Xenopus tropicalis: one gene and its partners. The protein of the gene in region 4 purifies or fractionates together with the protein of the main gene of each other region. This does not show direct contact. Links are inferred from orthologs where the notes say so. Each region holds a gene or a part of one and is shown on either strand. Other genes may lie near its edges.

Evidence for each region.
Region 1: the proteins of slc30a4 (region 4) and c19orf25 purify together in Homo sapiens (affinity purification with mass spectrometry; 3 studies listed by BioGRID and IntAct, counting the BioPlex papers as one, with this or other methods). This does not show direct contact. The link is inferred for Xenopus tropicalis from reciprocal best matches to the Homo sapiens genes SLC30A4 and C19orf25.
Region 2: the proteins of slc30a4 (region 4) and cip2a purify together in Homo sapiens (affinity purification with mass spectrometry; 3 studies listed by BioGRID and IntAct, counting the BioPlex papers as one, with this or other methods). This does not show direct contact. The link is inferred for Xenopus tropicalis from reciprocal best matches to the Homo sapiens genes SLC30A4 and CIP2A.
Region 3: the proteins of slc30a4 (region 4) and mettl9 purify together in Homo sapiens (co-immunoprecipitation; 3 studies listed by BioGRID and IntAct, with this or other methods). This does not show direct contact. The link is inferred for Xenopus tropicalis from reciprocal best matches to the Homo sapiens genes SLC30A4 and METTL9.
Region 5: the proteins of slc30a4 (region 4) and stx8 purify together in Homo sapiens (co-immunoprecipitation; 3 studies listed by BioGRID and IntAct, with this or other methods). This does not show direct contact. The link is inferred for Xenopus tropicalis from reciprocal best matches to the Homo sapiens genes SLC30A4 and STX8.
Region 6: the proteins of slc30a4 (region 4) and fut8 purify together in Homo sapiens (co-immunoprecipitation; 3 studies listed by BioGRID and IntAct, with this or other methods). This does not show direct contact. The link is inferred for Xenopus tropicalis from reciprocal best matches to the Homo sapiens genes SLC30A4 and FUT8.
Region 7: the proteins of slc30a4 (region 4) and pds5b purify together in Homo sapiens (affinity purification with mass spectrometry; 3 studies listed by BioGRID and IntAct, counting the BioPlex papers as one, with this or other methods). This does not show direct contact. The link is inferred for Xenopus tropicalis from reciprocal best matches to the Homo sapiens genes SLC30A4 and PDS5B.

What each region holds. Positions count from the first base shown.
Region 1 is NC_030677.2:99,423,872-99,428,033, forward strand, and holds the start of c19orf25 (UPF0449 protein C19orf25 homolog), read left to right. Parts: upstream 1-1,315; 5' UTR 1,316-1,366; intron 1,367-2,361; 5' UTR 2,362-2,402; coding exon 2,403-2,532; intron 2,533-3,101; coding exon 3,102-3,292; 3' UTR 3,293-4,117; exon of another isoform or gene 4,118-4,159; 3' UTR 4,160-4,162.
Region 2 is NC_030678.2:103,689,934-103,694,171, forward strand, and holds the start of cip2a (protein CIP2A), read right to left. Parts: upstream 2,944-4,238; 5' UTR 2,865-2,943; coding exon 2,763-2,864; intron 1,084-2,762; coding exon 936-1,083; intron 1-935.
Region 3 is NC_030685.2:25,157,095-25,161,340, forward strand, and holds the start of mettl9 (methyltransferase-like protein 9 precursor), read left to right. Parts: upstream 1-1,274; 5' UTR 1,275-1,372; coding exon 1,373-1,531; intron 1,532-2,194; coding exon 2,195-2,385; intron 2,386-3,044; coding exon 3,045-3,254; intron 3,255-4,081; coding exon 4,082-4,246. UniProt on the Homo sapiens protein: Protein-histidine N-methyltransferase that specifically catalyzes 1-methylhistidine (pros-methylhistidine) methylation of target proteins.
Region 4 is NC_030679.2:104,579,746-104,583,419, forward strand, and holds part of slc30a4 (zinc transporter 4), read right to left. Parts: intron 3,514-3,674; coding exon 3,365-3,513; 3' UTR 1-3,364. UniProt on the Homo sapiens protein: Probable proton-coupled zinc ion antiporter mediating zinc import from cytoplasm potentially into the endocytic compartment. Controls zinc deposition in milk.
Region 5 is NC_030686.2:49,415,991-49,420,357, forward strand, and holds the start of stx8 (syntaxin-8), read left to right. Parts: upstream 1-1,498; 5' UTR 1,499-1,513; coding exon 1,514-1,530; intron 1,531-4,367. UniProt on the Homo sapiens protein: Vesicle trafficking protein that functions in the early secretory pathway, possibly by mediating retrograde transport from cis-Golgi membranes to the ER.
Region 6 is NC_030684.2:119,798,953-119,803,423, reverse strand, and holds the start of fut8 (alpha-(1,6)-fucosyltransferase), read left to right. Parts: upstream 1-1,525; 5' UTR 1,526-1,565; intron 1,566-4,471. UniProt on the Homo sapiens protein: Catalyzes the addition of fucose in alpha 1-6 linkage to the first GlcNAc residue, next to the peptide chains in N-glycans.
Region 7 is NC_030678.2:153,120,938-153,125,235, reverse strand, and holds the start of pds5b (sister chromatid cohesion protein PDS5 homolog B), read left to right. Parts: upstream 1-1,392; 5' UTR 1,393-1,476; intron 1,477-3,937; exon of another isoform or gene 3,938-4,033; intron 4,034-4,298. UniProt on the Homo sapiens protein: Regulator of sister chromatid cohesion in mitosis which may stabilize cohesin complex association with chromatin. May couple sister chromatid cohesion during mitosis to DNA replication.

The DNA of each region.
Region 1 (4,162 bases), on a different chromosome or scaffold from region 4:
GGAGTGGCTCAAGAAGAAGCACATTAAGGTCATGGAGTGGCCTAGTCAGTCTCCGGACCTTAATCCAATAGAAAACCTATGGAGGGAGCTCAAGCTCAGAGTTGCACAGAGACAGCCTCGAAACCTTAGGGATTTAGAGATGATCTGCAAAGAGGAGTGGACCAACATTCCTCCTAAAATGTGCGCAAACTTGGTCATCAATTACAAGAAACGTTTGACCTCTGTGCTTGCAAACAAGGGTTTTTCCACTAAGTATTAAGTCTTTTTTTGTTAGAGGGTTCAAAAACTTATTTCACTCAATGAAATGCAAATCAGTTGCTATCTTTTATTTAAAGTTATTTTTTCGATTTCCCTTTTGATGTGCTATCTGCCACTGTTAAAATAAACCTACCATTGAAATGATACTGTTCTGAGACTTTTCATTTCTTTGTCATTGGACAAACTTACAAAATCAGTGAGGGGTCAAATAATTATTTCCTCCACTGTATGCATAACTCAGATATCATGAAATAATTGACTGGTCACTATACTGCACCACTGTAAAATACCTGATAGAAAGGAGCATTTATGATGAAGTAGGAAACAGTATAGCAAATTTTCTTTTCATCTCTTGCAGTACTTCACAACATATACTGTATAGTTCTCTGACATGTCATGTCATGTGGACTGCCTATGCCCTGTCTCTGGTCACCATACGCCATTCCCCTGGGTTTTCCAGTTTCTCCATCAAATTCAATGCATGCATTGTCAGTAGGCATTCAGTGACATTAAAGGGAGCATGGGTGTGTGCACAGTGAGCATTTGGCAGCTTTAGCAAAGCTGATATATATTCCAGCTTGGTAAGATTCTTTAATAGGTGACGTAATTTGATAGAAATCATATAAAGAAACCTTCAAAACATGACGATCTGGCATTATATGGATTTGGGAATCCTATTAGTGGAGGAAATATAATGCCTATTATAAAATAAACTAACCGAGCCCTGGGTATCCAATAAAGACTTTTTTACGATATAAAGGCGCTGTATGCTGTTCTCGTAAATACACTAACATAAACATGTAACTAAATATTTATGCCCCTTTACAAGACTGTGTCAATTGCATAGTTTCACCACTAGATGTCGCAAGTACATACCGTAACTGCTTCGTTTTAGACAGGAACCTTCCAGTGATTGCCAATTGTCATAACCAATGAGATCTTACCTTTCCGCCCAGAGTGCCTTGTTATGCCAGGTCACTTATTGATGATGTCATATCTGACGAAGCTTTGGTGGTGGGGGGGTTACTGTGTAGTGGTGGCGTCCAGCCGGTGTACCTTTCCCTTGCCTGGTCTCTGGAACGTCATTTCTAAACGATCTGGTTGCTAAGTATGTTATGATTAACTTATTACTTATGGTTTCTATTCTTTGTCTGGAACTGTTCTCTTTCTTCAGGGGAATGTGAATATTTTACTTATGGAATTCGTGCTCAGGTGTTTTACAGACTTAGTTATGTTAAATGTTTGCCTTGTAAAAATACTTTATTTAAGGGATATATACTCTATGCAGTTTCCTTACATTGGTTTGTTTCTGAGCAGTGCAGGTAGGAGTGTTGTTTTCCCCTGCTGTTGATGCTTACATTTTTTTTTACATTCTATCACCCTACCCCAGCACTAAAGCTGGCCATACACGCACTGATAATATCATACGAAACCTCGACCGATATCGCTGGTCGGACCGGTTAAAAGATTTTGATCGGGCGCCATAGAAGGAGCCTGACCAAAATCTGCTGTCAGGGCTGAATCGGCAGAAGGAGGTAGAAATCCTATTGTTTCTACCTCCTTATCTGCTGTTTCAGCCCTGACGGTGTGTGGCGGATCTGACGATGTTTCGTGCGACCGATGGTCGCCAGATCGCCACGTGTATGGCCACCTTTAGTGACACATTTTTTCCATTCTTTGTAAGGCTACATAATGTATATCGCCTGCAGCATTACAGCAACCACACCAGCATCAAGTGGCATAGTCAATCTCTCAGTGCATCCCTAATAGTAACTGATACACAGGTTCCCTTTCTATTTAAATAAAATTTTCCTTTTTAGAAGGCAGGAAACCCTTATGCCTTGCATCCCCATAAATACAGCACTGCTAAACATAGGCAGTCCTTTATTCATGGGAGAGGCTGCAGGTCTCTGCACTCCAAGAGAGACAGAGACCTGTGGCAGTTCTTTCAAGCTTTCCCAGATGTAAATAACAAATATAATTGATATATTCCTTAGTTCCTTTCAAAAACATGTATTTTGTCCAATAATTATGACACAATGCAAACAGGAAAAAAAAACTTGATCTTCTTATTAATATTTTTAATTACTTTTCCGCTTTCAGTTAGGGAAGAACCTTTCTTTCGTTTTTGAAAACTTTTGGCTATGACCTCCAGAGCCAAGAAGCGAATTGTCCTTCCCACCCGACCTGAGCCACCCAGCATTGAGCAAATTCTCCAAGATGTCCATGGGGCTATAGCCTCTGATCCAGTGTTTATCTGTGACTTCAGTGATGGTAAGTAATGCTGGTTGATTTTCGGCATAATTAATTGCAACAATATAAATTAGGAAAGGAAATCACATTTTATATTTCACTGATAGGCCCTGAACCAATATACAAATAACAGCAAAAAATTCAGTGAAAATAAAACCACATTTTAATGGCTCAGAGATTTTCTCAAAACATAATACAAAACAGATTCAAATGTATACTATACCACACAGTGACAGGGTACATCCTAGTGCCTCTCCTAACGCGTTTCGCACAAAGTGCTTCATCAGAGGAGGCATTGTGTGCTGATGTCACTTCCCTTTTAAACCAAACAGCATATCTCATATACAGTGTGCAGGGTTAATGCTGTACCTTATATAGTGAGCATATATTACAAAAAATTCTTAAGATATACACATTTCAGATTTTAAAATTACCCTGTATTCAGCATAAGTTATATAACAATTCTTAAAACATACATGTTCCAGGGTCTAAAATTGCCCTGTATTCAGCATAGATTATACAAAACCACGGCATATCTGTAATAGTTAAGTCAGCCTCTTGTTTTCATGACACTCATTTTTGTCTTACAGATTCCTCGCTTTCCAATAATGCTACTTTATGTGAAAAGGAGAAGCAGTATTGGCAGAGCTGCAATTATGTGGATATGAACAACAAACTAAAGGAAGCTCTGATCCAGTTGAAGGCAAAATGTGATGTGCTGAGGTCTGCAGGGGAAAAACTAGAAGAGGACATTGAGAATCTGAGAGAGGCTACCATGTGAAATAACCCATGTGCTGATCTTTAAGTAATGCACATTTGGTCACAAAGATTAGCAGCATGCTGATGTAGATTCACTACATTGTCTACAATGTACTATTTAATACTAAACAGTAACTTTACTGGAGCACTGCTGACTTCTGTTAATAGACGTGTGAATATCTCCAAAGGAAATTTCTACAAGTGGTTTTGGGGAAGATTTATCAGTAGATGGACCCTGCTTTCTGATAATACTTTACAAATAATTTAGATATTTTAATTTGCATGTTTTGAATCAAAGGCCATTGATGTCATTAGAACATTGCCCACAGATAATGCACATGACATTTAGGTATCCAACATGTGTGCCACTAACTACTTATATGACTTCTCCCTGTGGTACTGTTTAGATGATGCCCATGTGGCTGCCAAAATACTCTGCATGCTAGAGCAGAATTGCTACCGTGGCTATGATGAGCACCGGGATAAAACTGCTGGAACACAGGCAATTGCTTGGACCACTAATGTTATCCAGTCCAGCCGAATATCATTCCTTATTGTGTCAGCTACCTCCCTGAATGACCCTTGGTTCAATAATGTCTCTGAATGGAGTCTGGTGAACTATGTAGATCAAGAAGCTGTAAAAGTTGTGCCAATCTATGTGGGAATAGATGAAGCACAGAGACCCCATAAACTACGCTTTCTGACTAGCCTTAACTATGATTCCAGTTACTTTCCCAACAGACTTCTGGCTAGCATGAAACCGAGAAACCGTCACTGACTATGCAAATGGGGATTTTTCTTGCTACGGCTGTGTGTGTGTGTGTATATGTATGTATGTGTATATATAATATATATATATATATATATATATATATATATATATATATATATA
Region 2 (4,238 bases), on a different chromosome or scaffold from region 4:
TCATGCTTAGCGTAACCAAAAAAAATAAAGCTTTAGAATATGCTATTTAATTTACAGCACTTTATTTTTAAGCACTTTTTTTTTTTAGAAATATGCCTCTAAATGTTTTACTTTATTTCCCAAACACATTTTGCGCATAGACAAATGAAATAACATAATATAAACAAAAGCGCTGCTAAAAAATATTATTCTCAACAGATTATTGTTGCATAATGTTATCCTACTTTGTTTTATAATGTATCTAATGTGTCCTTTCAGGTTTGTTTTGTTCTTTGAAGTGTGTCTGGAACTTTCATTTACCTAAATAATTCCTGTCCTTTAGGCATATTTTTAAGGAAAAGTTCATTACTTGGGGGGTATTAAACAGATAATCTGACTAAATACATTATTTTCCTTAAAAAGAAAATATACCCCACTTTTTGATAAACTTATTCAGTTGAGCATTTATAAAAAGGGTGTGTAAACACTACCTTATTTTAAGTAACTATAAAAATAAGTTCATATAGTGTTTGATAAACTTTTCTACATAAGACCAACTGAATGGCTTATGTTAAAAAAGGCAGCTGAATTTACAGGACAATTGCTAGCAACTAGGTTTTGACTCAACAAAGGTGTATTTTGTCTATTCAAAAAAACATAAATAACTGTAAGGCACAATGGTTAAATTGTGATTCCCACAGTTTGCAAAGTATGTGAAAATGCCTTTATGTGACAGTGAATGGAAAATGCCACAAGTAAAACATCTGTATCATGTAATCACACAAAATTGTCTTTGGGCTTATTTTAACCTAATTGTGCAATCTAGGCCATTTCCGTTCACTGCCGCAGAAAGGTATTTCCAGGTGCTTTGTTGTCTGCAGATGACAAAGTACCCCATGTGCCATCACCCACACAGCACAAAGAAAACATAAGCATTGGCTGAATCCAGAACTTACCTAAACTAGAAATCAAATTAATGGTTTTCAATGTAATAGCAGGACTGGTGTTTGGGTCTTCGAGAAGCTCAACAAGACTGCTCAAACATTCACTTGGTAATATTTGATTGGATGCAAACAATTTGTTCAGGTTCAGTCCAATAATTACCTTTAAAGATATAAGGCAAACATATCAAACTTTCTGTTACCTTGCATGGATGGATCAGATACATGTTAACAGAGCTTCTATAATTTTACTAAGCAATTTATAAGGGATGTACCAAAACCAGGATTCAGTTTCACGATTTAGTTCAGCTCCTAATGTTCAGCTGAACTGAAGTGACTTTAAAGAAATGGACAGCTGAAAGTGACATATGCAATTTAGGGTCCTTAAAGGAGAAGGAAAGGCTAATATAGTGTTAATCTCAAGTTACAGGCATACTTTCAGTTCTCTCAATAGTGCTCTTAAGTCTTCCCATACTTTGCCTGTTCAGATGATCAAAAGCCTCATAGGGAAAAAAAAAACCCGAGCTCTGTAAACAAAATTCCCATAATGCCTCGCTCCTGCACCAAGACCCCTGTACATGCGCAGTTTGTAAGACGTTGAGGGAGCTTCCCACTGATTGGCTCAGATCACACATTCCTAAGGGGGGGAGGAGGGAGTTCTTAGCATTCTTATAGAGAGGGAGGCAGGAGAGGAGAGAGCTAAGCAGACTCAGGGCTCAGAACAGCATTTCTGTAAGTGCTTATGGCTGTATTTACATAGACCTTTCTGATAAAGCTTACTTAGTTTATACCATTCCTTCTCCTTTATTTGGCTCAGCCTTAGCCTTTCTTTTGGGCAATCTAGGTGCCTTGATCAGTGCTCCTGCCTGTGATTATTGACAGCAGCCAAGAGTCAAATTTAGCTGCCCTTCTAAGCACTTTGGAACAATACTCACATAGCTTACAGGCATCTGTAGCAAGATGCATTGCTTCTTTGGAAACAAAGCTTTTTCAAAATTTTGAGACTTTAGTGTGTAAGGGTGTACTAAAGCCCAATGGAAAAAAGAACAACTAAAACGTAAAAGGAACCTTCATCCAACTGTTATTGCAGTTGCTACCAAGGGTTCTGCCAGAATTATCCCCCCTAGAGGGGTAGTTCACCTTTGAACAACCTTTTAGTATTATGTAGAGTCATACTTTAATACTGAGACAATCTGCATTCTGTATTCATCTTTTATATGTTGCAACTTTTGAATTACCAGGTTGTTAGGGCTCAGTTTACTCTAGCAACCAAGTCAAGGCTGAAAGATAAATAGGAGTGGGCATGAACAGAAACATAACAAAAAGTAACAGTAGCCTCACAGAGCAAAATTTTTATGGTTGCTGGAGTCAAAGATCCCCATTTGAAATCTGGAAGAAGGCAAAAGGCATGCTATACCATACTACAAGTTATCTTAAAGGTAAACTACCCCTGGCAACTGTACCAATGATCTACAGCTATTAAGCAATAATTGTACATACTAAACAGAAATAAAAGAAATTAGTGTTGCTGCTGCACAAACCCTGTTGAATTGTGCAGCATATGGGTTATACATTTAGTAAGCAATGGAGGAGTTGGCACTCCGAAGCAAGTTGCACAAGCCAGTGGACCATCCCATGGAATCATTTCTTTCATGTCAAATACAACTTAGAATCAGCATGCCACTTTCACAGTATTTTTAGAAAAATTGTAGCAAACACTGGTTTATATATTGTAAAATAAACTATATAGGGTAGAATGAAATATGAGATATCTACTTATTTATTCTTGTTCCAGCTATTGCAACGCACAGGCAACACAGAGCTAATGATATGGCTTCTCACCTCCAGCTGCCGATGTAGCACTCCCCCGTTACTGTCACTCTTACATGTTTTGTACTGCGCTACAGCCAGTAGAAGGCTCTTCATACACGACGTGGCATCCATAGCCCTCACAGACCCCGGTTCAAAACTGACTCAGAACCAAACCTGAATGTACCAACACTGGCAAGTCAGATTTCGCGCCCTAAGCTTTCATTTTGGTTGAAGCTAGGATGTGACGTCGGATGTGGAGTCACGACGGTGGCCTGATTTGGACAGAATATGACGAAAGGCATACTTGTCAGGTGCTGGTCGAGCGAAACGTACTAGTCCGCGTAGAACTAACTATATTGTTGAAGTATGTATGCCAATATATCACTGGTGCAACTATAGAAGGAGTCGCTCATCCGCACCCCTCTTTCGTTTACAGCAGGGTTGCCAAATTGGGTTACTAATTTAAAGTCCTGGCGGATTCCAAAAGTACAAACCCGCAAAGATACAGTTTTGGGTTATTTTTTGGAGCCTTGGTGGGTTTGTTGTTAGGAAACTTGCCAAAGTTTTTTTTCCCCCTAGTGTGCCTGTTTCACTGCATGCTGGGTAATGTAGTTTGTATCTAACAACTAGCCTACAGCTAGGATTAATATAAAACTACAATACCCAGCATGCAACTGGTATAGACAGAGGCTACGTTTTGTATTCCCTTTTAGTCTTTCAGGCTCAACCTGTATGTTCTGCAACTAGCAGCTCTATAGGGTATGTGATTGTACTATTACTTTCTACTGTGATGTGGGGGCAGTTCTGCATTTGGTCCTTAAGCTATACCTCTTGGGATACTTTGGGGCTTCTGAGAGTTGTAGTTTAACGCACCCATATGTATATCATGTCTGGGGTTAATGTAACAGAATGTAACAGAATCTATTTCTGTAGTGACTTCCCAGCTGGACTGGGCACAGAGGGCAGGGAATTATCAGCCATCCCAGTAACTGGGTAGCATTTTTGCATTTTTCATTGCACATATTGGGCTATTTTTGGGCTACTTTCAAAGAGGCTTTTGGCTAGTTTTGGGCTAGTTTTGGGCTGGTTTTAGAAGTGACTTTGGCTAGTTTGGAAAAATAAATCTGGCAACCCTGGTTTACAAGTACATTTAAACTGTTAGAAATCTCTACATTCTACTCAGGCAGCCAAAGTATGGCGATGTGCGTCACAGCGTGATGCATGCACTCCTTTGTAGCCGCCAATCTAAAAAGTAGGAATAGAGGGGGTTGTACCACAGCGGAAGGGGTGCAAGTTAACCCTTTTTAATGGTGTTTCACCTAAGATCGGGGCTGTAGTCTTTCTCTGTTGCCAGTGGTCCTTAAAGTGGATATATAACTTGGGTGTATAGGGAAGACAGGGATATATGTTTTTTTTGTATCTTCAAATGCTGTAAAGTAAGCCATATTCCGCTCACTTGTCTAGTGCCCATATGTCAGTTATGTGGCTCCCTGAATGAACAAATTC
Region 3 (4,246 bases), on a different chromosome or scaffold from region 4:
ATTTTTGGTGTTAGTATAAAGGTCTTTGTCAGTTAGCAATGCGTATTTGTGTTTTTCTTTATATGTATTTTTATCTGCTCCTAACTTCCAAACTGTCCCACTTGAGTCATACATTTCTTGGTTCCTCATGAGAGACCCAGGGCTAGTTAAAGGCTTGTCAATGATTTGTTAACTAAGGCTGTTTTTCCTGCAAATTGGGGAAAGTCTTGTAGACCAGTGCAGGTCTGGACTGCGATTTAAAATAGGCCCTGGCATTTCAGTACAGAAAGGCCCAAACAGCCCTCCCAACAGCCCAATACATGACTATGGCATCTTTCAGCAGCCCCTCTGGAATTTGCCAGAACCCACAGATTGCCAGTATGGGCCTAGACCAGCGGGTTCTCACCTGTCAGTGTCATTTTGACACAAGTTTCTCCAGATCAATTGAAATTCTATTTTTATAGAGAAATGAAAATATTAAGAGTAAATATTGTAGTGTGAGATCCAGTGCCATTTCTGCCATAAAGTAATGGGAAAGCCTTACCCTTTCTAACTTTCAAATGGGGGGGGTTTCCACTGACCCAGCACCTAATAAAAACCACTGCTCTGTGAGGCTGTAATTTTATTGTTTGTTACTTTTTATTAATTATCTTTCTACTGAGACCCTCTCCTATTCATCATCCAGCCACTCATCCGACGTGTCCTGATATGTTGTGCAAGTATTGGGCCAAGCCCACAGGGCCAGGGGTTTCAGGCCGGCCTGCACATCACTATGATAGGTTACAAGCCTGGCCAGTAAAAGTCATGCTTTATGTCAATGTTGTTAATAGGGAAAAAAATAATAGAAAGACTGTAGTTTTTCCCTTGAAATAGTTGGCAACCCTCCATCTACCTCAGGTGGATTCACATAAATCTGGCCAGTCATACTTACTCACTGACAGACCCACTATAGCTCAATGATAACTGGACATGTACATCCAGCAATATGTCATTTTTACCTACAGTTTTCCCCACTGCCCAGAGGCAGAGCACATGCCCTTCCATTCTTAAAAACTGTCCCTTCACACATCCTCAGCCTAATCATATAGTCTATAAACCAATGAGAAGCTGAATACGCGGTTATGCAGTTTCTCGTTGGATCCCAGGACCGTGCATGATAGAGAAGAAAAGGCCGTGCTAGAGCGGCTGATCTGAGCTCTCGCTTGTGCACTGTGAGCAGCAAAGGAATGAGGTCCGGGCGGAAACACTGTTTCCTCTGCACAGGTTCCGCTCCTTTCTTTATTTTTCCATTCTCTCCACCCCTCTCTTGTATTCCACTCCTCAGGCTGATGTGTACATCCCGCTGGGCCATGGCCTGCTCCGGTCCCGGACGAAGTGAGTGGGCGCTGCTCAGATGAAACTGTTCGTGTGCTGGATAATTAGCTACCTGCTCTGCCTGGCCGGGCTGAGGAAGATGTGGAGTGGCCGGTACCTGAGGAGTCACCTCAGCAGATCCCTGTACATGAATATGATGAGCCACAGCCAGGCCCCGTACTGGGATGGGAATCAGCAGGTGTGTAATGTCACTCTGGTGGGGGGCAGGAAAGTAGTGACACACCTAGTACACTAATCAGCCCCCCCCCCCCCAACCCCTCAGGTGTCCAGTCATTAGCACCCCCATCTTCTGTCTAGTTCAGAGATCAGCAACCTATGGCAGTGTTTCCCAAACTGTGGGGCCTGGAACAGTGGCAGGGGGGCTCAGCATGCTGGCAAGTTAGGTCAAGATTTGAGGAGCACACTGATTTGCTTGCCTAGATACAAATGAAAGCCCAGATGTAAAGGTCTGTTAAAGTGAGATACGGTGCCCTACATTTGTCAGAACTGAGCTTTGTAATCTAGAAATATCTAAAAGCCTGATGTAGATTTGCCATCTCTCAACTCGCACTGCTTGTTTGGGCACAACTTGCGTGGGATTTTGAAACTGAAAAGATTAGGAGTGGTAGAATGGCAAGGTGCATAAGAACAACCAGATAGTACACTGAAATAAGGGGGGGTGGTGAATTCATTGTAGCAGCTTTTAAAGGGCACGTAAATTCAAAATTAAAATTTTGCCTAGTAGACAAAAACTCTTATCCTAAATCTGAAGTTCTGTATAATGCCCCTTTCAGTTTGCTTAGTTGCTACAATAGGTTTATTGTTTTAGATTTGGACATTAACGTTTGTGCCTCCTTTGCAGTGGTACTTTTGCGACACAGAAAAATTAAGTGATTGCCTTCGGCCGGTTTTCATCCAGAGTTACTTAGACCATGGAACCCAGACATTCCTGAACAGAAGTATTGAGAAATCTGGCTGGCTTTCCATTCAGCTCTACCATTCCTTCATGTCCTCTGTGTTCAGTATGTTTATGTCCAGAACATCAATCAATGGGTAAGTTCTTTACTTCTTGTATATGAAGAAGTGCTGTCATGTATATGCATTTCTGTTCACTCACCCATTGTAACATTAAAATAAATAACCCAAAGGATAGTATCTTATCTTTAATGCCATAATTTACTATATTAGAATTGCACCATTATATTATATTATATAACTGTTACCACTAGTTTGCAATGTAATGTTTATGTGTATAATGTTACTCAAAATAACAAAAATAAACAGAACTGAGCATAAGCTACCATATACCGTATCCATATAATTTTACTGACATTGGTAATAAACACTGTCTCTTGGAAGCTCAGACTTAGGTAGAGTTATTGAAAATGGGATAAAAATGTAGTTGGCTACGAATAATAAATAAGTTAAATAACTTATGAGTGGTGTAATCTGAGGCCCAACAAAGTTTCAGTGTACCCAACTGTCAGGCCCACATGTCAAAGGCAACAGGCTGATCAATCAGATCTGTCAGGGAGTAAAGAGTGTCTGCAGCTCTTTCTTCTTTATCTACCACCAATAAAGTGAAATTTTCAGGTTGAACAGATACATTTTTTGAAACTGAATAGTTGCTATACATGCCCTGATGGTCAGGCAGTATGGTCAAAATTGGTCAAACCTGGGTACATACAGCTAGCCTTTTCCTCTCTTTGCAGGTTGCTTGGAAGAGGGTCAATGTTTGTGTTTTCACCAGAACAGTTCCAAAGGCTTCTCAAAATTGACCCCGAGTGGAAATCACATCGCTTGTTGGATTTAGGTGCAGGGGATGGGGAAGTGACTAAAGTAATGAGCCCTCATTTTGAAGAGATCTATGTTACAGAAATGTCTCAGACTATGATATGGCAACTTCAAAAGAAAAAGTACAGGTCAGTTATATAAACAAATTCTGTATCAGGTGTGTATGGAACACTTAGAGATCACTGGTTGTTTGCTGTTGTTCCTCGATAAGTGTATAGTTTAAAGAGAAACATCTCCTTTTTACTAGTTTACCTTAAAATGCGTATCCATCATCCGAAGGAACCAATTATCTGGGTATAACTGATACCTGGAGCTTCAGACTATGACTTAAGCAGCGCTGGATGTTGGGCTTTTCTTTGCTTAAATTCAGGAAGTTGGGCAGGAACTTAGCTACCAGTTCTGATTATTATGGTTGCAGAAGAAAGTTTGGGAGTTTTTACTGCTGAAAACGTTAATCTCTTAAGGAAAAAAATATTTTCTTTTTTCCAGAGCACTGGTTCCTGGGCATTGTATGGATACCATGGAAAGCCATGGAAAGCTGTTAGGATCCCTAAACAAAAATTTACTTCAGCCAGCTAAGCTTAGACAGTCTGCTTAGGTGCAATAAATTAATAATTTGATGTCCCTTATATGGTAGTAAGCAGCTACTGTGAATATTAGATGTAAAAGCAGTATGATAATATGAGAGGGAGCTGCCAAAATACTGATAGAGATGTATTATTATTATTTGGCACCATGCTTTAAGTCTTAAGATACAATAATATGATCTGCCTCAACCCCCTCAGCTAAGGGAATAAGTATGTGAGTTTCTTTTTATTCTTCATGATACTTATTCTGGGACATATAGATATTATAAGCATGTTTTACACAGTAATGCCTGTTATGCCTGAGATATAGATGGTAAAACTGTAACCTGTTTGTCCCTGACATAAATGAATTCTTTTCTCATATCTAGAGTGCTTAATATTGATGAATGGCAAAGCACAGGATTCCAGTATGACGTTATTAGCTGCTTAAACCTCCTTGATCGATGTCATCAGCCAGTGACATTACTGAAAGAGATGAGAAGTGTTTTGGAGCCAACTAGAGGGAGGGTAATACTGGCACTAGTATTGCCGTT
Region 4 (3,674 bases):
TCCCAAGTGAATAAAAACACAACTTCAGTTTGTCATTTACATGTATTATTCTTCTTTAAAATGTATTTTTCTGGCAATCAAAACATTAATAAATATGTTATTACAACCCTCTGTGCATTTGTTACAGAATCATTTTTATTCTGTCATAAGATTTTGTAAAGAAAGAAAGGCAAGAGGCAACAATTCATCAAAACTTTGAAATTGAAAAAAAAAAATGCATATTTTATCTGGTATTTCATTGGAGCCACATCCAGAAAAATACAGGATTACATTAAAAAACACAAGTATATACAGCCTAATTATACTATTGTGTGTTTTTGAAAAATTGGTGTCAGAATTTAATGCTCACAAATGAAATGAAGGAACAGTCACATCCCCAAAGAGATCAAATAAACATAACAGGTGGCCTGTTATCCCAAGAACAATATAATAAGGCTGCAGAGTTAGCGGACAGGAATTCCTAAAAGTGTTGCTTAATAACTGGGTATCATACTCTTGTTTCACAGCAGTTGCACAATTCTGTGGTGCAAATCTAAAATGAAGTGCACTCCTTTTTGCTGAAAAAAGTTGAGGTGGTGAAAAATGTCACCTGAGGAGCATGTAGTTTTATAGGCATATTAAAGGTGGATGTGTAAAAATAAAAAGGCACACATTATTGTCTGGCCATAGACAAAGCCTGTGTGTATGCCCAGGGTAAAAACAGCAGCAGTATCAAAAGATTTGCTTATTTTGCTATAATGCTATATGCCTATTTAACAGGCTGTGACACTGATTTAAAGTGCAACTGTCACTATTGTAAAAAAAAAAAAAAAAAAAAAAAAAATTGAGAAAAATGTAGTGGCTGTTTTAGTTACAGCTGTTTATATATCTAAAAAATTGTGAGCTGCTAAACTTACAGTGAGTGAGTTACTCAGATTTCACCAGGTGGAAATGCAATGGCCAGACCTTTACAGTATCTGCCCAAAGAGCCTGTGGGCCAAATGTAATGATACCAGACCAGCAGCCATACTTCTAGCAACGTAGCCAATGTTCTCTACATTCAGAATGATCTAAATGATCACAAATGTGCTGGGGTTCTCCCTGCTTTTACTTGCTTTCCTGTGCCAATAACATTCTTAGTGAAGGGGCCCCCCTGCAATCTTGAGGCTCGGGCAGTATATATGGAATTGGACAAACTGCCTGATCAAATCTGGGCATGTGAACAACTTACTGATTCCAGCATTAGTGAGCAATTTGCACTGACATGGTTGGTAGAAATTTGGCAGAATATCAATGTCTACATCATAATAAAAGGGAACAACCCCTTTGAAACTATTTCTGGAAAAAGTGGTTATTTAGAAACCACTAATTAATTTCTTGTCAATATTTTAGTGTTTCATTATTTGGAACTTCTCAAAAAATAACATACAGGGTTGGAAACATGTGCAGTTTATGTAATTGCTTTTATGATCCAGCAGAAGTTATTTTATATACACGTAGTGATTAAAATATAATTACATTTATTTAAAAAGTTGCTTTGCTGTACTTTTGAATTAGCTCAGACATTTTTATTCCAAATTCTGAATTTCTTTTGTTTTTCTTTTCATATTTGACGTTGCATTTCAGCTAGGCTAACAGCATGCTGTCACTTTCCACACAGGAGAGATGTGCATAGAAAGGCTAGAGAACGGAAGCTCTACTCACAGGAAGCCTAGTGGCAAGTGAATGAAGTCTTGTATAAATAAAATATAAATAAATACAGTCCCAAGTTACAGGCACTTTCAGAACGGCTGCAGACTCATGGGTCCTGAGAAGGTGGAAGAGGAACCTCTGGCGATGCCAAACGGGCTTGGTATATTTAGAAAAACAAAAGGAGGTTATAAAGAAGAAGAAAGTCCTGTTAAAACCATGTCCACCTAAATTATAACCTAGGTAAGTACCTGGAAAAGAACTTTTGTCATAAACCTTTGCAACCTAAATCAGGAGTAACATCCTGCCTGCTTTATGTGGCTTCCCTTCGCTTTTTACCTCAGTCTATTCTAATTAGATCTTTCACATTTAGAGCCAGAACATGAAAGACTAACAGCAGCAATGTTGTGTCAGTTTCAATCTATAAACAGTAGAACATAAGTGCAAAGTACAGAACACTGATAAGGTGACAACTTTTCTGCTTCTTAAAATGGCAACAGCAGCTTATCACATACACTTGGTTCAAAATCAACACCATACTGTTGTATTGGTACCAACAAGAATTCTGTTCCTGTGATCACTGATCATCCAGTCACATATACATGTAAACTTAAATTCTAATCTGAGCTCTGCCAGTAAGCCAGAAATCAGCAAACTATTTAGGATTGTAATACGCAGTAACGTAATGTTCTCTTACTGACCCACTCTAATACTTTGCACAATGCTTAATACCAAGGAAAGTGGGATGATATTTACAATACTATTGGCCATGCAGTAATTTAGTTTTCAGTGGGAGGAAACCATAATACCCCTATATGAAAGTCTACATGAAATTAATGGGGTTGTTCACCTTCAAAATATCTTTTTGTATGTTGTAGAGAGTGCTATTCTGAAACAATTTGCAATTGGTCTTCATTTATTATGCTTCATGTTTTTTTTAATTATTTAGCAGCTTTCCAGTTTGGAATTCTAGCAGCTATTTGGTTGCTAGGGTCCAAATTATTCTAGTAACCAGGCAGTGGTTTGTAAGAGAAACTGGAATATGAATAGGATGATAAGTAATAGAAAGAGTAATAGAAAGTAATAATACAATGAAATTGTAGCCTCAAAGAACAATAGTTTTTTGGCTGCTGGGATCAGTGACCCCCATTAGAAAGCTGGAAAGAGTCAGAAAAGGAAAGCAAATAATTAAAACTTGATAAAAAAAAAATGAAGACCAGATGAAAAGTTGCTAAGAACTTGCCATTCTTTAACATACCAAAATTTACCTTAAAGGTGAACCACCCTTTTAAGCACTTCAACGCAGATTGTGAAAATGGCACATAGAAAACTAGCTTACCCTTAAAATATGGCAATCTATGCAATTGCTTTGCTTCAAATAACATACTGTTATCCATGCCATGGGCTTATTGTGCTATAGCGTAAAACATGAGGTTTATGTGCAAACTTGCTTAACTCTGTAAACATTTGAGTTGTAGGTCTACACGGCCTCAGCAGAATACTGCAGAGAGAAAGGTTATTCTCTTTTGGTCTATAAAGATTCTAGATTCCAATAAGAAAATGTGCTTCTCCTTTATATATAGAGACAGAGAGAGCAAGCCACTGCTGCTTCATAGTAAGGATTTTAAGGTTAACATGTATTGCTCTGGGTGTCCTACACCTAGTGTGTCAGTTGTAAGGCAACAGTCCATGGGACTTAGGCATTGGAACAGTCAGTGCAACGGGTGCTCTCCTCTTGCCCGTAACTCTGTATCTGAATGAAGCATTTGTACATTCCATGTGTTTTCAGCAGTACATGTCTGGCTTTATTTTGCACTTCCTCCCACTTTGATGAGGCATCAGGACCTGATGGAAAACATGAGTGGTTAGAAAAGTAATTTCTCCAGCATTATCATGATTTGCTTTCTTCCTTTGATTTTTTTCTAGGTTTTTGCAAAGCACACTATGGTTATAAACTAGAGTTTAGTTCCCTATTTGTCCCCACCACATATGACAGATATGCACAG
Region 5 (4,367 bases), on a different chromosome or scaffold from region 4:
TGGCACCTTACAGCCCCCCTGGCATTCCCAGTACCCAGAGGCACAAACAGCCCCCCAGCCCAATAAATAGTGCTGTCTGTGGCACCTTACAGCCCCCCTGGCATTCCCAGTACCCAGAGGCACAAACAGCCCCCCCAGCCCAATAAATAGTGACTGTCTGTGGCACCTTACAGCCCCCCTGGCATTATTCCAGTACCCAGAGGCACAAACAGCCCCCCCCAGCCCATAAATAGTGACTGTCTGTGGCACCTTACAGCCCCCTGGCATTCCCAGTACCCAGAGGCACAAACAGCCCCCCCAGCCCAATAAATAGTGACTGTCTGTGGCACCTTACCAGCCCCCCTGGCATTCCCAGTACCCAGAGGCACAAACAGCCCCCAGCCCAATAAATAGTGACTGTCTGTGGCACCTTACAGCCCCCCTGGCATCCCAGTTACCCAGAGGCCACAAACAGCCCCCCCCCCCCAGCCCAATTAAATAGTGACTGTCTGTGGCACCTTACAGCCCCCCTGGCATTCCCAGTACCCAGAGCACAAACAGCTCCCCAGCCAATAAATAGTGATGTTGTGGCCACCTTACAGCCCCCCCGGCATTCCCAGTACCCAGAGCACAAAAGCCCCCCCAGCCAATAAATAGTGACTGTCTGTGCACCTTACAGCCCCCCTGGCATTCCCAGTACCCAGAGGCACAAACAAGCCCCCCCAGCCCAATAATAGTGATTGTCTGTGGCACCTTACAGCCCCCCTGCATTCCCAGTACCCAGAGGCACAAACAGCCCCCCCAGCCCAATAAATAGTGATGTCTGTGGCACCTTACAGCCCCCCTGGCATTCCCAGTACCAGAGGACAAACAGCCCCCCCCCAGCCCAATAAATAGTGACTGTCTGTGGCACCTTACAGCCCCCCTGGCATTCCCAGTACCCAGAGGCACAAACAGCCCCCCAGCCCAATAAATAGTGACTGTCTGTGGCACCTTACAGCCCCCTGGCATTCCCAGTACCAGAGGCACAAACAAAAAGCCCCCCAGGCCCAAAAATATTGGACTTGGGGTCTTCGTGGGCCACCCTTACAGGCCCCCCTTCCTGGGGTCTTGGGCCCAACCCTGTCATTCAAACCACTGCATGTTGCTATGGTAAGTGCTACCCTAGCAACCATTGTTACAGGGTTACTATAATCCCATTTTCCCAGTGTTTTTATTCCTATCCAATCACTGTGGGACAGTGGTTCTGTTACTAAAGGAAAGGAGGAGCCCTGGGGCTGAGCTGTGGGGCAGGGTGTGAGCCAAGCACCAAATAAGAGTGTAAGCTCTGTGGGTGAGGGGCAGGCAGTGCGTAACAATAACACAGGGAGTGGGAAGTGATGTAGGGGCGGGGGGAGCAGAGGATTCTGGGAGTTGTAGTACAACCATACGCTACAGGGTTCGGAACCAGGAAGCGTTCGGCGCTATTGTCCCTCCTGCCCTCCCGTCGCACATGTGACACAAACAGGAAGTGGGGCAGCGGCCAGTCGTCACTATGGCACCGGATCCTTGGTGAGTGGGTCCCGGGGGGGGTAGGGCGGCCCCCCTGCTGCTCAGCTCCCAATATCCCCATCCCTCATTATGTAACCTCTAATTACTCTTAACGTGATGTTGTGCATGCCAGGCTTGTGTGCGCAGGCGTGTCAAGAGCGTCGTTGGGCAGGCTGTTGGGGCCAGACGTTGGTGCCATGTGGGGCCAGTGGGTGCGGGGTGGGTGGAGGCCAGTCTTGTGGTCCAGGGGTGGGAAGAGCCAGCTGTGTTTGGTCATCATGAGGCCATCGTGTGTGCCAGGGTGGGAATGCCAGTGTGCTGGTGCGGGGTCAGGGGAGACACAGTCTGTGTGGGTGCCAGGGTCAAGGTGAGGAGGCCAGTTCTGTGTGGTGAGGTAGGCAGCAGGTTGGGTCAAGGCGTCGCGGGAAGCACGTGGGCCAGCTTGTGCATCTCTGTTGGGCGCTTTGGCCCGAGCTGTGGTGCCATCAGGGGAGAGGCCAGGTCGTGATGATGTGTGTGATTTGTGGGTGCCAGGGTCAGGGGAGAGAGCAGTACTGTGGGGCATGGGTCGAGGGAGAGAGCCAGTCTTGTGTGGGTGCCAGGGGTCAGGGGGAGAGGCCCAGTTCTGTATGTGGGTGCCAGGTCAGGGGAAGAGGGCAGTCTGTTGTGGTGCCAGGGTCTCATGGTGAGAGGCCAGTCTGTGTGGTGCCAAAAGGCTGTGTGGGTTTTTTGCCCCATGGTCTGTGTGGCGCAGGCTGTGGAGGCCAGTCTGTGTGGTGCCAGGGTCAGGTGAGCAGGCCGTCTGTAGTGGGTGCCAGGTCTTGGGGAGCCAGTCGTGTGGGTGCCGGGGTTCAGGGGGGAGAGGCCAGGTCTGTTGTGGAAGGTGCCAGGAGTCAGGGTAGAGGCCAGTTCTGTGTGGTCCACGGGTCATGGAGAGGCCAGTCTGTGTGGTGCCAAAAGCTGTGTGGGTTTTTTTTGCCCCATGTCTGTGTGGTCCAGCTGTTGAGGCCAGTCTGTGTGTGCCAGGGGTCAGGGTGAGAGGCCAGTCTGTGTGGGTGCCAGGGGTCAGGGGAGCCAGTCGTGTGGGTGCCAGGGGTCAGGGGGAGAGGCCAGTCTGTGTGGGTGCCAGGGGTCAGGGTGAGAGGCCAGTCTGTGTGGGTGCCAGGGTGAGAGGCCAGTCTGTGTGGGTGCCAGGGTCAGGGAAGAGCCAGTCTGTGTGGGTGCCAGGTCAGGTGAGAGCCATCTGTGTGGGTCCAGTTTCAAGGGGAGAGGCCAGTCTGGTCCAGAGTCAGGGTGAAGCCAGTCTGTGTGTGCCAGGGGTCAGGAGAGCCAGTCTGTTGGTGCAGGCTGTGTGGGGGCCAGTCTGTTGGGTGCCATGGATCATGGGAGACCAGCTCTGTGTGGTGCCAGTGGTCCAGGTGAGAGCCATCTGTTGGGCCAGTCAGGGAGAGGCCAGTCTGGTTGGTGCCAGGTCAGGGGGAGGCCAGTCTGTGTGGGTGCCAGGTGTCAGTGACGAGCCAGTCTGGGCTCCAGGGTCAGGAGAGCCAGTCTGTGTGGGTGCAGGTTCAAGTGAGAGCCAGTCTGTGTGGTCCAGGCTGTGTGGTGCCAGTCTGTGTGGTGCCAGCTGTTGTGGGGGCCAGTCCCTGTTGGGGTCCAGGTCAGGTGAGCAGGCCATCTGTTGGGTCCAGCTGTGGGGCCAGTCTGTGGGGTCCAGCTGTGGGCCAGTTCTGTTGGTGCCAGGGCAGGTGAAGGCCAGCCTGTGCGTGCCAGCTGTGTGGTGTGCCAGTCTTGTTGTCCATGCTGATGTGGAGCCAGTCATGTGTTGCCAGGGGGTAGGTGAGAAGCAGTCGGTGGTGCCAGGGTTCAGGGGAGAGGCCAGTCTGTGTGGGTGCCAGGGGCCAGGGAGAGCGGCCATCTGTGTGGTGCCAGGGTCAGGCGTTGAGAGCCAGTCTTGTGGTGCAGGGCAGGGAGAGCCAGTCTTGTGGTGCCAGGGTCAGGCGGAGAGCCAGTCTGTTGTGCGGGTGCCAGGCTGTGTTCCAGTCTTGTGTGCGCTGCCAGGCTGTTGGGCCAGCTCGTGTGGGCCAGGGTCAGGGTGAGAGGCCAGTCTGTGTGGGTGCCAGTCTGTGTGGGGCCAGTCTGTGTGGGTGCCAGGCTGTGTGGGGCCAGTCTGTGGGGTGCCAGGGGTCAGGTGAGAGGCCAGTCTGTGTGGGTGCCAGCCTGGTGGTGCCATCTTGTGGGTGCAGGCTGTTGAGGCCAGCTGTTGGCTGCCAGGGTCATGGTGAGAGCCAGTCTGTGGTGCCGCTGTTGCTGCCAGTCAATGTTGTGGGTGCCACTGTGTGGGTGCCATCTGTGTGGTGCCAGGGGAAAAGGCAGTCTTGTGAGTGCCAGCTGTGTGAGTGCAGTCTGTGTGGTGCCAGCTTGTGTGGGTGCCAGGGGAGAGGCCAGTCTGTTGGTGCCAGGGTCAGGGGTGAGAGGCCAGTCTGTAGGTGCAGGGGTCAGGTGAGAAGGCCATTGGTGTGCAAGGGCAGGAGAGCCAGTCGGTGGTGCCAGGTGATGAGCCAGTCTTGTGGTGCCAGGTCAGGGTGCAGATGCCAGTCGTTAGTGCCAGGGTGAGCCAGTCGTTGGGTGCCAGGGTAAGAGCCAGTCTGTGTGGGTGCCAGGGTTCAGGTGAGATTGCCAGTCTGTGATAGTGCCAGGGGGAAGGCCAGTCTTGGTCTGCCAGGGGTCAGGTAGAGCCATCTTGTGGTGCCAGTTGAGAGCCAGTCTGTGGGTGCCCAGGGTACAGGTGAGATGCCAGTCTGTGTACGGTGCCATGGTGAGAGCCATCTTTTGTAGGTGCAGGAGAGGCCAGTTGTGGT
Region 6 (4,471 bases), on a different chromosome or scaffold from region 4:
ATGACAGCATGTCTATAGATGAGCGGTACAGTATGTAGGAAGGTATATAAGGTGTAATACCTGTAGATATGACAGCATGTCTATAGATGAGCGGTACAGTATGTAGGTAGGTATATAAGGTATAATGGCTGTAGATATGGCAGTATGTCTATAGATGAGTGGTACAGTATGTAGGTAGGTATATAAGGTATAATGCCTGTAGATATGGCAGCATGTCTATAGATGAGCGGTACAGTATGTAGGTAGGTATATAAGGTATAATACCTGTAGATATGACATTATGTCTATAGATGAGTGGTGCAGGTACAGTATGTAGGTAGGTATATAAGGTATAATACCTGTAGATATGACAGCATGTCTATAGATGAGCGGTGCAGTATGTAGGTAGGTATATAAGGTATAATGCCTGTAGATATGACAGCATGTCTATAGATGAGCGGTACAGTATGTAGGTAGGTATATAAGGTGTAATACCTGTAGATATGACAGCATGTCTATAGATGAGCGGTACAGTATGTAGGTAGGTATATAATGTATAATGGCTGTAGATATGGCAGTATGTCTATAGATGAGTGGTACAGGTACAGTATGTAGGTAGGTATATAAGGTATAATACCTGTAGATATGACAGCATGTCTATAGATGAGTGGTACAGTAGGTAGGTAGGTATATAATGTATAATGGCTGTAGATATGGCAGTATGTCTATAGATGAGTGGTACAGGTACAGTATGTAGGTAGGTATATAAGGTATAATGCCTGTAGATATGACAGCATGTCTATAGATGAGTGGTACAGTAGGTAGGTAGGTATATAAGGTATAATGCCTGTAGATATGACAGTATGCCTATAGATGAGTGGTATAGTATGTAGGTAGGTATATAAGGTATAATGCCTGTAGATATGACAGCATGTCTATAGATGAGTGGTACAGTATGTAGGTAGGTATATAAGGTATAATGCCTGTAGATATGACAGTATGCCTATAGATGAGTGGTACAGTATGTAGGTAGGTATATAAGGTATAATGCCTGTAGATATGACAGTATGTCTATAGATGAGTGGTGCAGGTACAGTATGTAGGTATATGAGGTGTATAGCTATGACAGTATATAGGAGGCTATAAGCACAAGTAATATAGAAACGGAAGGAAGCAGCCCTGCTGTAGCCCAATTGCAGGAGGGTATGTCCCGGCTCCACTAGCACCCATAGCACCCAGCGGTACACAGCAATGTATCTCAATACGGTGGCACCCAGTTACAAAAGGTTCTGAGCCTAAGGGTGCCCGTAGCCCTGAACTTTGAAGAGCGGACGCCCAAAGTGTGTGGGTCCCTATGAGCCCCTGCTGTAAGGCAAGAGGGCATCCTGTAGACGCCTGCGTTTGTCCCCCCCGCCCCTCCGTATCGCCCCCGTTGTTCGCTTTGCGCCTGCGCATTGTCTCCCTCCCCGCCCGCTCCCTCCTCCTGCCCCTGCCTGGCTGCCAGTATCTGAGCGCTCTCCGCCCGGAGCTCGGCTTCCTGTCTGCTCTGCAAGCACCGCTATCCTACAGGCTCCCGGAGACATAAGGTACCGGCTGTGCCGGCCTGGGGATGCTCGCAGGGAGGGTTGGGAAGGGAGTGGGTGGCTGCTTACAAGCTGTACGTTATATAGATGTGTGTGTGTGCGGTGCTGGGTCTCACTGGCTGTACAGTAGGGGAGTGGGAGACACTGGGCTGCTTCCTAGGATGACAGGGAGCATTGGCACAGCTGGCCATGTATATTCCTGCCAGGGCTTTTACTTTGTCTTCATGCTCTACTGATGGAACTTGCATGGTTCTGATACCAGTGTGGGTACTGTGTTTACACTGTGTGTTTGTGATGTGCTGGGGGGCAGACAATATGCCTGCAGTGCTGGGTGCTCTATTTACCCTCTGTGTTCCTATTGTGCTGTGGGTACAATACAGTGAGGGTGCTGTGTCCCTGTGTTACATTGGGTCACATTAGGGTGCTGGATATACCATGCATGCCTGGGGTAATGTGGCCATGGCTGGGTACTTTGAATAGATTGTGTATGCCTTGGGGCGCTGTGAGTACACATTGGCCCACTGTGAGTACACTACACATGAGGCTTCTGTGAGTACACTATGGGGGCTCTGTGAGTACACTACACATGAGGCTTCTGTGAGTACACTATGGGCCACTGTGAGTACACTATGGGCCACTGTGAGTACACTACACATGAGGCTTCTGTGAGTACACTATGGGGGCTCTGTGAGTACACTATGGGGGCTCTGTGAGTACACTATGGGGGTGCTGTGAGTACACTATGGGGGCTCTGTGAGTACACTATGGGGGCGCTGTGGGTACACTATGGGGGCGCTGTGGGTACACTATGGGGGCGCTGTGGGTACACTATGGGGGCGCTGTGGGTACACTATGGGGGCGCTGTGGGTACACTATGGGGGCGCTGTGGGTACACTATGGGGGCGCTGTGGGTACACTATGGGGGCGCTGTGGGTACACTATGGGGCCGCTGTGGGTACACTATGGGGCCGCTGTGGGTACACTATGGGGGCGCTGTGGGTACACTATGGGGGCGCTGTGGGTACACTATGGGGGTGCTGTGGGTACACTATGGGGGCGCTGTGGGTACACTATGGGGGCACTGTGAGTACACTACACATGGGGGCACTGTGAGTACACTACACATGGGGGCACTGTGAGTACACTACACATGGGGGCACTGTGAGTACACTACACATGGGGGCACTGTGAGTACACTACACATGGGGGCACTGTGAGTACACTACACATGGGGGCACTGTGAGTACACTACACATGGGGGCACTGTGGTTTCATTGTGCCTGCCTGTATTACTCTGTGCCTGCACTATTGTGGGTACCCTTTCTATGCCTTGGGTTCTTTATGTACAGTCTGTGTGTTCTGTGTACTTTGGGTTCCCAGTTCATGCCTGGGGTACTGTGTGTGTGGGCATTGGGTGTACTGTGTATACACCGTGTGTGGTTGGCCTGCTTTGTTTACAGTATATGCCTGGTGAGCAGTCTTTGCGTTGTGATGTGTGTCTGATGTAATTGTGTCTATGGCATTAGTTAAGCTGGGCACAGCTGGTACGTTATGCCTATTGCATTAGTCTGCTGATCCATGTGTACACTGAGTGTGTATGAGCTGCTGAGTTTGCCGGGAGTGTGCTGTGACAATGACAGAAATGTAAATGCAGGTGGGGCAAGTGCTGATGCAGTTCTGTACACACTGACCCAGAGGAAGGAAAGCAAACTCCCCAGCTGCTGGTTCAACCTGACATGTTCCTCTATGTACCTGGGGGTTGGGCAGCACTTTGAATCACTTACAAGTGATTGTTGGAAACTTATATTGTATTTAACTTTTAATTGCAACTCATCAGCACCCTTACTCGTCAGTACGTGACTGCCCTTACAACAAAATGACCCCTTTAGGTGCTAATGGTGAAACCTCCTTTACTCTGCTTTCAGTGGGTGTGAGTGCTGCTGAGGCCGAGGGGCTGTGAGAGTGCTGCTGAGGCCGAGGGGCTGTGAGAGTGCTGCTGAGGCCGAGGGGCTGTGAGAGTGCTGCTGAGGCCGAGGGGCTGTGAGAGTGCTGCTGAGGCCGAGGGGCTGTGAGAGTGCTGCTGAGGCCGAGGGGCTGTGAGAGTGCTGCTGAGGCCGAGGGGCTGTGAGAGTGATAATTTACAATCACTAGAGTATCTGTGCCAGAGTGCTTGCAGTGCCCAATTGATATTTTGGGCACATAGGTATGTGCAGTATGTACTTTTCTTATTGTGACAATATTGTGTGTTATCAAACTGCTTAGGTAACACTTTGCTGGCAGCGTGTAGGTTGCACATAGTGTTGTACCTGATGTGCTACTTGAGCTGGGCACAATGTGAGTAACTGCCTGACAGTTATTATAAATCACCCTGGTAAAAGTTTGCTTATAACATTAACTATAGTTTCAGCAGTTGCTGTTCAGCAACACCAGTCCTGTGAGCATCTTTCTGATCTTGAGTTCTGTTGTGTTTGTATAATTACAATTACACCCCCTCATACCACTATATCTGCCTACAGCCCACTGAATGTAACAGATTGGACTGACAGCCTGGCAGAAACCTGGCAGAATATCTCCTCTTTCTTATCCAGCTGATAATGTATAACCAGCATTGAGCTTGAATTACCCAAATGTTGCCAGTGTTTACCCTTACCTGGATTTTCTGTTCCAATGTGTACAACCTATTTATTTTGTTGGGACTCGGTTTAGAAAAACTTTAAAGGTGAAGTTTACCTTTTAATGAGATGTCTTAGACAGAAGTAATGTAAGCAGTTGTGTTTTTCTCAGTGTTCATATAGCAATTATTAATTAGTTGCCTTTTTAACCCTCCTACTCTCCAGTCAGAAAGTTTGCAGTTGTCTCTGGTTGCTAGGTGCACTGGTCCCAGCAGTCCCACAGATGAAATAGATAGT
Region 7 (4,298 bases), on a different chromosome or scaffold from region 4:
CAGGGCCAATGATTTGATCACACACTAAAGGATTTTAAAGTTAATCATTTGATTTTAAAGTAAACTTAATAAAGGTATTTTTAATAGGTCTTAGCTGGTGTGCCTTGACAGGTGTCTAACTATAGTGCGAGGTTAACTTCACTATTAACACTAAAGGTGGGCACACATGGGTCAATAAAAGCTGCAGGCTTTGGTTGGTATTGGCCAACATATGAGGCCCTCCGACGGGCCTACTCGACTGATATCTGGCCAAAAATAGGACAGCTTTGATTTTCACATGGGATAGAGGACCAGACGTGCACGTTGATGAAGTCCTCAATCTGACAGTCTGCATAGGAGCAATTATGATCCAATCATTTGGCCCGAGGGCCAACCAATCAGATGAGTTCAATATTTAATTGTGTGACCACCTCGCCAACTGAGCGGATCTTTCAATGCCTGGCCTGCTTTAGGCCTGTGGGGGCCAATCAGATGAAGACTGCTTCAATGCACCTTGTCTGATGGAATTTTCAAACCTGTCCGACTGCTATTTGTATGTATGTATGTATGTATAACTTTATTTATAAAGCGCCACAAGGGTACTCAGCGCTGTACAGTCTTACAGAATACACAATTACACACAGGGAGGACAAGTGATATAATAAATAAATACAATAAATACATATATGTATATATATATATAGGAACAGGTGAAAACAGGCACTCACGTATAATGAAGTAATAATTTGCCTGGGTGCAGTATAAAGTGAGCATACAAAATTAGAAAGAATATGCTGCACACTCAGGTCTTAGATGCAAAAAACAAAAAAAAATTTATTTGGATCAAGGATCGAGTCCTTGATCCAAATAAAAAAAATTTTGTTTTTTGCATCTAAGACCTGAGTGTGCGGCATATTCTTTCATTCTTTCTAATTTTATATATATATATAAATGCCATGTGGTATGAGAAACAGTAGGAAGGAGGTCCCTGCCCCGTAGAGCTTACAATCTAAGTGACAACATACACAGCTTTTATGGGCCCATATAGGGCCACTATTACTTAGCCATGTAGTACCTACATGCATAAGTGTCGCCTGTAACATGACAGATGGTTAGGGAATGCACTGACAGCGTCCCCCCGCTGGCACAGTAGTGGAATGGATTTGCCCTGTGGCTACTGAATACTTTCCATTCCACTAGTCAAACGGATTTCTCACTCGCCCATAGTTGTAGAGCGCCAAGGTTTCGTCACCGAGAGGGGGTGGATCTATGGCAGTTCCCAGTTTGGCCGCCTGGGGCCGCTGCATGACCGTACAGCGGGGAAGGCCGCGCTTATTCCCATAGCCGCTTCCATTGGAGCTGCCGGAGACAAATTGGCGCCATTTTGAAGCTCTGGGCAGGCTGCACGGAGCGGGATAACACGGACGGAGAGGAGAGCGGGGAGTCGGAGCCGGAGGGGAGGGAGTACAACGTACTGGCGAGCGGCAACATATAAAGGTAAGACATACGGTGCCAGGGCCGGCGGGCAGAGGCCTGTGTTCCGGTGAGCGGCCTCCCGGCTGAAGGGAACGGTGTGCGGGGGATGCGGGGAGCGGCCCGGGGGTACGGAGCGCTGTGCTGCCCTCACTCAGTGCGGGGAAGTTGTCTGTAATGCTGCGCAGTCATGCTGTTATGTACAGCGCCATCGCTGGCCCCTCCTGTCGCTGAACTACAACTCCCAGCATCCTCCGGCAGCCCAAGCCTGCCCAGGGGTCGGGGGGCGGGGGGAGAGGAGTATAGTTTCAAGACTGCTGATCACAAAGGCACTGGGTGCCCGGGGGTGCCCTGTATTGTTACTGGGTGCCCTGTATAGTCACTGGGTGCCCGGGGTTGCCCTGTATTGTCACTGGGTGCCCGGGGTTGCCCTGTATTGTCACTGGGTGCCCGGGGTTGCCCTGTATAGTCACTGGGTGCCTGGTATAGTCACTGGGTGCCCGGGGTTGCCCTGTATAGTCACTGGGTTGCCCTGTATTGTCACTGGGTGCCCGGGGTTGCCCTGTATTGTCACTGGGTGCCCGGGGTTGCCCTGTATAGTCACTGGGTGCCTGGTATAGTCACTGGGTGCCCGGGGTTGCCCTGTATAGTCACTGGGTGCCTGGTATAGTCACTGGGTGCCCGGGGTTGCCCTGTATAGTCACTGGGTGCCTGGTATAGTCACTGGGTGCCCGGGGTTGCAGGGCATATATATTCTGCCTGGATATTAGATGCCCAGCCTCTCACATTGCTGCTGTATGACTGGGCATGCTGGGTAGTTGTAGTTCTAGAAGTGGAGTGCAGGCATTCCTGGCCTGGATTGTCAAGATTCTAAATAATTAAAGGCAGCCATAACCCAGAGTGACTTTCCCTTTAATAGCTGTCCCAGTGTGGGTGCTGTACATTTGTCTGGCTGTGGGTGCTGTACATTTGTCTGGCTGTGGGTGCTGTACATTTGTCTGGCTGTGGGTGCTGTACATTTGTCTGGCTGTGGGTGCTGTACATTTGTCTGGCTGTGGGTGCTGTACATTTGTCTGGCTGTGGGTGCTGTACATTTGTCTGGTTGTGGGTGCTGTACATTTGTCTGGTTGTGGGTGCTGTACATTTGTCTGGTTGTGGGTGCTGTACATTTGTCTGGTTGTGGGTGCTGTACATTTGTCTGGTTGTGGGTGCTGTACATTTGTCTGGTTGTGGGTGCTGTACATGACTGCCTGGGCCATGTATGACTAGAATGCCAAAAACCCACTGGCACTGTTCTCCTACCTACTGCTCACCCCCATTTCTGTTCGGATTAGAAGCTTTACTTTGTGGCCCTTTGTAGCTATTTGATGGTTGCTGCGGCTGCATCTCCTTACTATATACTTTATGAATGGCATTCATTGGCTGACAGCTGACACAGGTCATTGACACTAGGGCTTGTGTGACACTGATATACTAGTGCTTGTCTGACTTATTTACCACTTGAAGCCCCGCCTCTTTGAGGGTCCAATCTTTGGCTGGGGGCCCCTTAGCTCATGGTTACTGATATAGGAAACCTTTGTGTATGAGTTTAACCATCTAGATTGGCATTCAGGTGTATCTAGGAGATCAAATAGGCTTTCCCTCAAAATCTTACCCTCACTTGCATTGATACTGAGCCCCTGCTCCACAGTTGGGCGCTAGTGATGCTTGGGCCAACAGTTTTTTTTTATTTTTGAAAGCCCGAGGTCGTGCTTTCTTCCTAAGTGCAAAAAGTGCGAAAAGTGCATCGTGCAAAAAACACACAAAAGTGCACAAAGGGTGCGTTTAGCTGCTAGCCCCTAAAGGGGCAAAGCTGCCATACTCGATTCCCACGTGGCCAAAAGGCTCGGCGAAAAAAGAGTCTTCGAACCCTCCTTTGCCGAAGCTAGGGAGGGTCCCTTTACATCCCCGACCCCCGGACCAAAAGGCTCACGGGGGCAAGGGTCTTCGGACTCTCCTTCGCCGCAAGGCTAGGGAGAGTCCCTTTCCTCCGGAATCCGCCGAAGCTTCCTCCGAGGTACAGTCAAGGCCGAAGTCTTGTCTTAGGTCGGGGAGAGACAGGAGCCAAAAGGCCACACAGTCCTCCCCTTGGTCCGTGGGGCATACCCAAAAGGGCAACTGCACCCTCAGAACCCATTCGAAAGGGTCACATAGAAAAAAGTGCAGTGACAAAACAAGAAGTGAATAAATATAAAATAAGAAAAAGAGTGCCGTGTATACGGCCCCAGCCTGACGTCCGGAATTTTAAAAATTTCTCTCTGCTCATCAGCCAAAAGGCCGGGGGCAGAAGGAGCGAGTGCAGCATAAAAACTTAAAGTGCCATTGTGCAAAGTGCTGTACTAGTGCAGCGTGAGCCACCACCTCACTGTGCTTGTTCGGGCACCCTGGGGTCGCTACTCCCAGGGCACGGCGCACCTCGGGCTTTCATGCTACCGGCCCTCTGGCCAGAGGATCATGGTAGACTGTCTTATATAGGGGGGGAGGAGAACCCCCTTAAGAACAGATACTACACTTGATCTTAGCCAAAGGGCCGAGAAGCGAGAAGCTTGGGCCAACAGTTACTTGACCCGGGGAAAGCCAAACCTGCCCCGTTTCGACCCGACCCACCATACTGCAACTGTTTACATAACTGCGCCCGACTCCCCCATCTCTAGATGTCACAGGAGGGGATGGGCACAAGTCTATAAAAGGAGTTAGACCTGGAGATAAATGGAGAAAAGAGATTGGTGGGGGTGTATATTTAAGCCCGCCCATAACAAAGACTTAAATTGCTGGCCCAGCCCCCACAATTAGATACCAATGCTGCA